Linked DNA regions of Sus scrofa. The protein of the gene in region 2 interacts with the protein of the main gene of each other region in a biochemical or structural test. Links are inferred from orthologs where the notes say so. Each region holds a gene or a part of one and is shown on either strand. Other genes may lie near its edges.

Evidence for each region.
Region 1: the proteins of TJP2 (region 2) and CTNNA1 form a complex in vitro, tested with the Homo sapiens proteins (2 studies listed by BioGRID and IntAct, with this or other methods). The link is inferred for Sus scrofa from reciprocal best matches to the Homo sapiens genes TJP2 and CTNNA1.

Annotation. Positions count from the first base shown.
Region 1 is NC_010444.4:140,680,936-140,686,108, reverse strand, and holds the start of CTNNA1 (catenin alpha-1), read right to left. Parts: upstream 3,334-5,173; 5' UTR 3,189-3,333; intron 1-3,188. UniProt on the Homo sapiens protein: Associates with the cytoplasmic domain of a variety of cadherins. The association of catenins to cadherins produces a complex which is linked to the actin filament network, and which seems to be of primary importance for cadherins cell-adhesion properties.
Region 2 is NC_010443.5:222,522,604-222,527,772, forward strand, and holds the start of TJP2 (tight junction protein ZO-2), read left to right. Parts: upstream 1-2,148; 5' UTR 2,149-2,322; coding exon 2,323-2,403; intron 2,404-5,169. UniProt on the Homo sapiens protein: Plays a role in tight junctions and adherens junctions. Acts as a positive regulator of RANKL-induced osteoclast differentiation, potentially via mediating downstream transcriptional activity.

The sequences.
Region 1 (5,173 bases), on a different chromosome or scaffold from region 2:
GGCCTCACTCAGTGGGTTAAGGATCTGGCGTTGCTCTGAGCTCTGGTGTAGGTGGCAGACATAGCTCGGATCCCGCATTGCTGTGCCTATGGCATAGGCTGGCAGCTGCAGCTCTGATTAGACCACTAGCCTGGGAACCTCCATATGCCATAGGTGTAGCCCTAAAAAAAAAAAAAAAAAAAAAAAAAAAAAAGCAAAAATAATAATACTGATAAATAAACTACTGTGGAAGCAGAGAGAAGGGCAAAAAGGAATTCATGCTAAGAGGAGAGAGGAAGGAAAGGACTTCATCTGATCAGATCTAGGTTTAAAGAAAGGCTTGGAGATGTCTCTTGGTCCAGTATTCCAGGCCCTCCACTATCTGACTGTCCTCTCATCTGTCAGAGTTCCACTCATAAACCAGACTCCAGAAGAAAAAAGACTCTTTTTATCCTTCATTCAACATGCTTCTATTTTTTTTTTAAACATCTCCAGGCCAGGTACACGCCAAAGGCTAAGGCTATCAGCCTTCAAGGCTCACCTTCTATCAAGAAAGGCCAACAGGCATATCAGTAATAAGATCAAGTGCCATGTACCTGGTGAGAAGAGGTTTGCTACCAGACAGAAAAGTGCTAAGGGGGACTTGAGATATGACTAAAAGCTCATGTAAGTGATGGAATCCAAACTGGGTGTGGGAGCAGAGGAGGAGCAGCAATGAGGAAACAACAAACCAACAGACCCGCCTAGGGCCTAGGCCGCTGCATCCAATCCTTCCCTAAGGCTTATCTCGTTTCTCCAAAGTACAGCTCCCTTTAGCCCCACCACCTCACTCCTACCATCCTCCTGGATCAACCTCCTACTTCTACTAGTGCACAAACACAAGCCTTGCAGGCACCAGCAGGAGTGATCTTCCTAAAAAGGAAATCAGATCTTGAAACTTCCTACAATGGCTTCTCACAGCTCTTAGAATAAAATCCAGGCACGTGACCTGGAGTTCCCTGGCAATCTCATGCCAGGGCTCCTTCCTACCCCCAAAGCATGCATCCAAGCTACACGAACCTTCTCTTAGGTCTCTAAACACAAGGAGTTTTTTGCTATCTCAGGACCTTTAAGATCAGAGGACTCTCCACCACCACCCCCAATATCCAGGTCTGCCTGTCCCGTCACTAACTATTGTTCCTTTTCAGAAATCCCTCAACTCTGCCAGTTACTGCCCATCTCCATATCTAGGTTAGGTCACTTATCTCATTTTGGTCCTGCAGAGTTTGCGAAGCCCCTGGACACTGAAGGAGATCTCTGATGCACAGCTGACCATGTGGGTGAGCTAAGACATCTGCACTCAAAATAGAAGCTTTAGCTTTAGCCCACAAAGTGTTGGACTTCAGCTTACATTTGATGACAGGGAGACTGTACAGAAGTGATCCTCAACCCGGGAGAGGGCACCCCGATCTCTAGGTCACCCCTGGAAAAAGATGTGACTGGTGGTGGGAGAATGATGCCACATCAGTGGTGTGAAGGGCTGAGATACGTTAGAATCTTGGATATAAGTGGTTTGAACAACAACAGAAAGATTAAGAAACAAGAGCCAAAAGTATAAGGAAAACCAGGAGAGATTTATAATCCAATTCCACAAACGCCTTTATGCCCTTTCATGCTTCTTCCCGACAAAACCCCACTGCTGCTCTAACCAGTTCAAATGCCCGTCCCCTCCTGGAAGCCCTCTGGTCTTATCCAAACAAAACTTACTAGATCCCCCTGCACAATTCCACGAGTTTCTCTTATCATTATTATTACGTAAGGTGTGACCCACGCACAAGTTTTTGGTCATTACTGTTGTGGTTCATATCGCCATCGGCCTTGCACTACACCCAAGCTGTGTGTCCCTTCCCTATTACACGGTGGGTTCTTGGGGCAGAGACTATTTCTTAATCAACTGTGGGCCCTTAAGAAAGTGGATAAAAATGATTTTTGTAATTTGATAAAAGTCAGAAAGAGTAAATCACTGGACAAAAGCTATGGATTAAAGTACCACATCCTCACTAAGGTGATTTACAAATCCACACTTTCCTAAAGTGACACACACCTATACAATCTTCAAAAATCACTGCTAAACATACGATCCTCCCATGGAAATGCCTATCCTGTTGCAACAATACAGTGATGTAATCACTTCCTTCAACACACATAAGAAACGCCTTAATAATCTAGAGAGTGAACATACCTTACTCTTTTCTAGATTATTGTAAATTCTGTACAAAGCAAACACCAAAAAATGTTGCAAAGACGCAGAGGGACATAATAGGGTTTCAGTCCTGGATTGGAGCCAACTGCCGCCTGCATTATTGGGAAGCCATTCCTGCCACACCAAGGTTAGTAGGCATTCAGACAACATTTTTTCCAACAAGTGTTTCTCCCTCTCTCTCTCTCCCTTTCTCTCTCTCTCTCCCTCTCCCACACAAACACACCCCTTTAGAAATCAACAAAAAAAAGATTCCAACGTCCCTCGTGCAAACCAGAACTAATTAGAGTTCAGGGCGTCCAATTACACAGCACAGAAGTCCGAGGAATTTCACAACAAAGGTTCACATGTACACGCCAAAAGTCCACACGGGTGTGGCGCCCCTTCCCAGCCAGACTGTGTCCGAGAAAGGGACACGCAAACTCGCACATGCGCTCGGGCCGGGAACGCGAGGGTGCGGGCCCAGCAGCCGCCCCGTCCACCTGACCGGCAAGTTTCGGTGGCGGGGGGAGGGGTGCGATGCCAGAAACCACAGACCTCACTCGCTTCCCCGGAAAACGCAACGCCGCCGCCCGCCCGCCCGCGGAACCACGCACGGACTCTTGCCCTCGAGGAAGGCGGCCGAGCGGGCTCAGCGCGGGCCTGGCGCGCGCACCGAGGCTACTCGAACAAAGTTTCCAAGCCCGGAGAAACTTTCCCGAGAGCAGGCGCCGCGGCGGCGCGGGGCCTGCCGCTCGCGCTGCTCCGGCCGCCGCGGGCCCTCAACTTCCCGAGCGCCAGTAAGCGCCGGCCCCGCCCGCTCCACCAGGGCCCAGGCCCGGGGCCCCGCGGCGAGAGCGGGCCGGAGGCCGCAGCGGCGCCCACCCGGAGCCCGAGGCCAGGCGGGGTCGCAAAGGGGACCGCCCGGGCCGCCCGCCCGAGGAGCCCCCTGCCCAGCGAGGGGCGCCCACACCCGCGCGAAGGCAATTACCTGCGGCGAGCGAGGCGAGGCAGGAAGATTCCCGAGGCCCGAAGCCAACGGCCGCCGCTTTGTCTGCCCCTGTCCGGCTCCAGGGAGGAAATGGGCCGCCCGGCGCCCCCGCCCCGCGTCCCGGGCCCCGCCCGCCCTTCCCGGCACCTCCCTCCGGCGCGCTCTTCCCGGCGCCTCCCGCTGCCACCCCGCTGGCCAGGGTGGCCCCTGACCCGGAGCGCCTGGTCCGCCAGGCCCGGACCCCCCAGAGGCCCTCTTGCTCTCTGCCCCTGACCCTCGAGGTTCTTCTTGCCAAGCCCCTAGTGGGCACTCTGGCCGGGAGAGACCCCCACCCCCGAGCGGAGGGAGGAGCGCGGGTGCCTGGAACAGCCCGCCAGCTGGGGAGGGCAGGTGAGTCAGCGCGCGGCGCACAGGTGAGTCTCCGGGCACCGCCCGCTCTGGCCCCACCTCCCGCTGATGCCCCTGGGACCCGGCGGCCCGGCGGCGCAGACTTCCGAGTGCCACAGGTGTTCCCGGGGCACAGGCTTCCAGAAAAGAGCTCCAGGCCCATTCCCTGGCTTTACGGAAGGAAAAACTGAAGCCTCACACCTTGAGGCAGAGTGCAACTCGAATCCAATTCCAGGGACCTCATAATGTGCGATGGGAAAGCCTCCTAGCAATCACCCAACTCAGCCGGTCGCTTGACAGATGGGTAAACCCAACAGCCTTCCTGATGGAGAACAAGAGGCTTGTGACAGGAGCATCACCTCCTGAGATTGTCCCCCTCCCCACACACGCACATTTGAAGGACCTGGCTTCTATCCCTATCCCTCTGGCCATTTAGGGAATTTCATTCCCACTCTTCCTTCCTTATCTTTCTACTGAACGCTCCCCCCAAAAACCACAAAACAAAACCAAAAATACTACACTCTCAGTCTGGTATGACTTCCTTCTCCATCATGGGATGACGAACGAGTTGATTTCTGCACTGGTCTATTAAGTCCAAAATTATGCATGACAGCAGTATCCACTGTTCGTTTTGGGCTGAGCTCTGAACAGGGTGCTAGGGAGACCTGCCCTCAGCATGTTTACCTTTTTCTACTCAAATCTCCCTTTCCCAGGAAATGCAAACTCCTGGAGGGCAGCAGCTGTATCTCCTACAGCACCCAGCACAAGGCTCATCCCCTAGGCGGGGCCCAGTTACTCTCTGTAGGTGCAAGTGCCCACTGTAACCTTAATGAGGCCATTCTTGTCCAGCCACAGTCCATGCTGTTTCCATCTTCAGAGCTTTTGCTCCTGTGGTCTCCCCTACATGGAGTGGCTGTGGCTTCCTCCAGCTACACTTAGCTACCTTAGAACATAGTATTCAATCAATAAATACTTGTTTGAACTAACAAAAGACATAGTTAAAGGATTATGCTCCATAATTTTGTATACTCATCTCTTCACTCAAGTACCAGCTACTCAATTTATGATGCCCCTTGTTGAAAAATTACTAACAGGTTTTCAGTTTTTTGTTTTTTTTTTTTTTTTTTTCATTTGATGCCCACACTCACAGCTTGTCAAATCTCCCAGGCCAAGAATGCAGCCTGAGTCACAGCTGTGACCTATACCGAAGCTGTGGCAACACAGGATCCTTGAACACACTGCACCTCTGCAGTGACCCAAGCTGCTGCAGTTGAATTCTGAACCCACTGTGCCACAATGGGAACTCCAAAAATTGCTAACAATTTTAAGATAGCAGCAATGGAATATTAAACCAAGCAGGCCCCTGAACCCCACCCCCAGAGACGAAGTGATTATGGCTCCATAGTCTCCAGCTCCAGAGTCTCTAGAGCCCTGCCTGGCGAAAAACAAAGGGCGATCAGACCCCAGAGAACCTGTCAAACTCTCTGGCCCCAGGGCCTGCCAACCTGGCTGGAAATGTTTGTCAGAGGCTGAAGGCACACCTGTGTCCCCTCCCTGAGGTGCGGCAGTCAGGACACGAGGGCAGAGGCGTCCTAAAT
Region 2 (5,169 bases):
AAAATATGTACTAATAACTTTGTTTTCTTTTCTTTTACTTTCTTTCTTTCTTTTTTTTTTGAGGGCCACACCCTCAGCATATGGAGGGTACCAGGCTAGGGGTCGAATCAGAGCTATAGCTGCTGGCCTACTCCACAGCCACAGCAACACTGGATCCTTAGCCTACTGAGCGAGGCCAGGGATTGAACCTGCGTCCTCACAGATGCTAGTCAGGTTTGTCTCCGTCAAGCCTTGAAGGGAACTCCCTCCTATAACTTTCTTTTCCAAAGAGTTGTATTGATTTATACTGCCACCAGCAAAGCTCCTGTATCAATTGAATCACTTTTTTCACCACTCTTTGAGTCTGTGTATTGTGAGAATTTTGTTATTTGTACTATGGAAGAATGTCATCATTTGGAGTAGTGTAATAGAACTTTCTGTGACAATGGAAATAGTCTATATCTACACTGTCCAATATGGTAGCCACTAGCCACATGTGGCTACTAACTGAGCCCTAGAAATGTGGCTAATGTGATTAAGAAAACTGAAATTTTCATTTTATTTAATTTTAGTTAAATTTAAATGTAGTCAATATTCACATGTGGCAAGTGGTCATCATATTGGACTGCACAATTCTGGAGAGAAAAAGGAAATCACTCAGCAGATATAATTGTTACATTCTGGCTTTTTTTATCCTTTTTAAATTTTAGTGGTATCAGCTCATGTCACTAAGGTGTGACCAGTTCACAAATGCTGCCACTGTTATTATTAGTCAGCAACATCTATTTTGGAAAAGATTTTTTTTTTTTTAAATAGTGCTTTCATCAGGAGAGTAACACCTTACATCAGAAATACAACCGAAATGTCTAATTCTGAACACTTGAATGAAAATGGGAAATATTACTCACAGTGCTTTTTATTCAGAGTCATGCACTTAGCTACTCCAAAGGAGGCCAGAAGCCTAACACTTTCAGAGAGGCATCTGCTGGACTTGTTTTTCCACATAAACTGCCAAACTTGTTTTGATTAGGCAGGAAGTGAAGCAACTTTTTAGGGAGAGAGCCGGGCATCTGCATTTCGTCAGTGGATCCATTTTGACCTTTTACCTTTTACCTTCTTGGGAGCCTGGGCCGAGTTTTGCTTTTCAATTTAGAAGAGCAGGATGGCCACATTTTTTTTTTCTTACAGTGTGGTTTCCTTAGAGTCCAAACCCAAAGTTTTATTTTTTTACATCAGTGCACCTGTCTTGATTTTCCAAATAACTTACATTACCTTAAAACAAGGAAAAAAAAATTTTGGGGCTGTGCCCTTGGCATGGGATAGGGACAGAGCCACAGCAATGACAATGCCAGATCCTTAACTTGCTGTGCCACTCTGAGAACTCCCCAAATAAGATTTTATTTATTGTGCACATTTCTTCGTATAGAGGACTCTAAAACAAATAAATGTACTGAGTTGAATTTGATGAATCCTGCCTGATAAGTATTTGTAACCTATTTTTCAAAAAAAAGCCTTTTAAAAGCTAGTGATGAGAGAGGAGTTTCCATCTCTTTATTAGAGTTGTTGGAAATGTGCCAAAGAGATAACCTGGCGTATATTTCCCTCAAAAATCATGTTTTATTCTTTAACATGAACATCTTATACCCTCGGAATTCGGGGAATTGTTGAGCTGAAAAACCTGGGGTACAGTGCCCTGTGTTGCCAGCCTCTAGGCAAGACAGCAAAAACTTCGGGGTTTCCCGGGTTCTTCCTTTCGGAAGAGAACCGAGGAGGGGGCGCTGCAAAAGTCTCCAAAAAGCATTCTTACAGGATCTCTAATGGGAGAACCTGCTGACTAACTCGCCACCCCACACTTACCGCTGCAAGCAAACTTGCAGCGCTTCCCTCGCACGCGCGGGGCGGGAGCGGGACCTGAGGCCCTGTGCATGCCGCGGAGCGAACCATCCGGCCGGCCGGAGAGGGGGGAGGTTCGGACGTGGGGGGCGCGGTAAGCTGGGGCCTCGGTGTCTGCCTGTTGCCTCCACCCTCTTCCGTCCCTGGCGGGGAGTCGCGCGAGCCCGAACCCTCGGTGGGGACTTGAGGGGCGCGGCGCTGGCAAGCCTTCCCCCGGGCCGCGCGGGGGTGGTAGCGGCCCTTTTCAGAGTTTCCCGGGCCGGCGGCCGGCGCAGAGGCGCTGCCTGCGGCCGGGGGCGGGCGGACGCCGCAGCCGCCGCGGCCGCGGGAGGAGGGACAAAGGGGTGGGTCCCCGTGGGGCCGTCACCCAGGCAAAACGCGGCTGACGGACTGAGAACTGACCTGCCGCCCGGAGTATCAGGAGGAGCGGGGCTCGGGACTGGTGCGTCCATGAGAGACCCGCGCCCGAAAATGCCGGTGCGAGGAGATCGCGGGTTTCCACCCAGGCGGGAGATGTCAAGTTGGCTCCATGTAAGTGCCGTCTGGCGTCCCGCTCGGTTGGGAGAAGGGTCGCGAGGAGAGAGCTTAGGAGCGCGTGGTGGGCTTCCCGGATGCGCTGTAGGTGGCTGGGATTCTTCCATCCGGAGGTGGAGTTGAGGGCAGGGAGTAGGTTTCGCCGGCAGAGGTGCTGGGTCAGGGCCTCCAGGATTCCTGAATCTTTTTCTCTGTTCTATGAAGTCACTTGGTTTTCAGTCGCGAGTAGGGGAAACTCTCTTGAACTCTGTTTTGGATCCCTGCTACCTTTGAGGCATCTCGTTGAGCTTGTTATGTCGCCTGTTGTTTGCTTTTGAGTTTTCCTTCTTAGTTTCAAACCAGTTATTCTGTAATTGATGCAAAGTTAGAGCATGTGTGCATGAGACGAACTGACGACTCTTTGGAGATGGGAATCCTCATTTTCCCTTTCAATCTCTTTTAGTCGGCAGTATAAGTAAAAGTTATTTGTGGCAGGGAATGGAGATAGGGTTTTGGAGGACCCCCCAAAAAGGGAGTGATGAATACTTTGTATTCTGGTATTATCTTACCTGTCACCAGTTCCTTTTCTTTTATGTTTTCATTTGTCAAGTTTCTGCTTTACACAGTAGTTTAAGTTATAAATAATCAGGGTTTTGCCTACAGGGTTTTAACATTCTTGAAACGTGGATGAACTTGGGAGTGAATACTCCAGGGCTTAGTAATGGAATACAACCCTCCCACCTCTATTTTAGCTTCAATTCCGAGGCAGTGCTGCTTCCTTGGCAGCTGTCTGGCCTGAGTAATGGTTGTGGTTTTCCAGCAGTTCCCAGTGGAGTCTCATCCCGTGGTAGAAACTGCCCTCCCTTCTTCAGCTAGGGGAATCCCATCACAGAAGGAAAGCGGCCCTTTTCCTTCAGATCTTTAGATGGTCTGTGCTGGAGGTGCTGAAGGTCATGCTGGGAGAACAGGGTCATTTTTGTCAGGATTCTTCCTGGGAAAGACAGTCTACATGCATACGTGGGAAGCAGATGGTTTTCATTTTAATTGAGGAGTTAGTAGTAGTGATTGCTTTTGCGCCAAAGTGCCAATTATTATCCTGCCTAAAACAATGAAATTGGTTGTTTAATACATTTTTATGAGCACCTTCATCTCAGTGTGGAAAATAGAAATGTTAAGAGTGTGCTTCTACCAACCACACTGTCTTGTTGGGGAAACCTGTAAATGATGAAGACTGATAGTTCCAGTTAGAAATAGGGACAGGATGCTGGAGTTGCTTCTCTCTGGGGAGCTGAGAGAAAGGAGTGTTTTACTAAGGCAGTGGTGGCTTTTGAGTTGTATCTTGAGCTTTTTCAGAGCTACTGCCAAAGATTGATGAAGGGGGATCCCCCCCCCCAGAATGGCTGCTGCAACTTTTTTAGGACCGCGAAGTTAATAAATTAATGAGCACCCACCTGTGCCCGGCCACTGTTGGGGAGGTGGGGGTGTGAGGTGAGTAAGACTCAACTTCAAGAGTCTGTTTGATCTGAAAATTTTAGATGTTTTTTGGACTGCAGGCTCTCTCTGCTGTGGCTAAAGGAGGGAGTGTGCTGCACAGATGCACACTGTGCAGTACAAAAATACAACAAAGTGTGGGGTCTTCCTGTGCACACTCCCTTCAGGGATTCTTTTTTTTTTTTTGTCTTTTTGCCATTTCTAGGGCCGCTCCAGCGGCATATGGAGGTTCCCAGGCTAGGGGTCCAATCGGAGATGTAGCTGCCAGCCTACGCCTGAGCCACAGAAACACAGGAGCCAAGCCGTGTCTGCGACCTACACCACAGCTCATGGCAACGCCGGATTGTTAACCCACTGAGCAAGGGCAGGGATCGAACCCACAACCTCATGGTACCTAGTCAGATTCGTTAACCACTGCGCTGTGACGGGAACTCCCCTTCAGGGATTCTTATTAGGAAGAAAGTTCAGGAGTTCCCGTCCTGGACCAGTGGAAATGAATCCGACTAGGAACCATGAGGTTGCAGGTTCAATCCCTGGCCTCGCTCAGTGGGTTAAAGATCCGGAGTTGCTGTGAGCTGTGGTGTAGGTTGCAGATGCAGCACAGATCTGGAGTTGCTTTGGCTGTGTAGGCCGGCAGCTACAGCTCTGATTAGACCCCTACCTAGCCTGGGAACCTCTAGACGCCATGGGTGTGGCCCTAAAAAGACAAAAAAAAAAAAAAAAGTTCACTATTTGAACAGATACCTCACAGGGTAAGCCAATATAGAAGATGAGGTTAACAACACACCTCACAGAGTTGAATGAGGATTGAGTGAAATGACGTAGGGAGCTTGGCCTGTAGTGGGTGCTAAGTAAACAGTAGCTGGTACAGTCATCCCACGGTGTCCTGGGGCAGGGGAGGTTCCAAGATTCCTCTAGGATACCAGAAACCTAGGATACTTAAGTTCTTTATCTAAAATGGCATAGTGGCAGTTCCTCTCGTAGCTCAGCAGAAGCGAATCTTACTAGCATCCATGAGGATGAAGGTTTGATCCCTGGCCTCACTCAGTGGGTTAAGGATCTGACATTGCCATGGGCTGTGGTGTGGGTCGCAGATGCAGCTCAAATCTGGCGTTGCAGTGGTTGTGGTGTAGGCCAGTGGCTACAGCTCTGGTTAGACCCCTAGCCTGGGAACCTCCATATGCTTCATATAACCTACCTACTCATATTCTCCTGTAGTCTTTAAATCATCTCTAGATTACTTACAATACCTAATACCATGTAAATGTTATGTAAATAGATGTAAATACACCG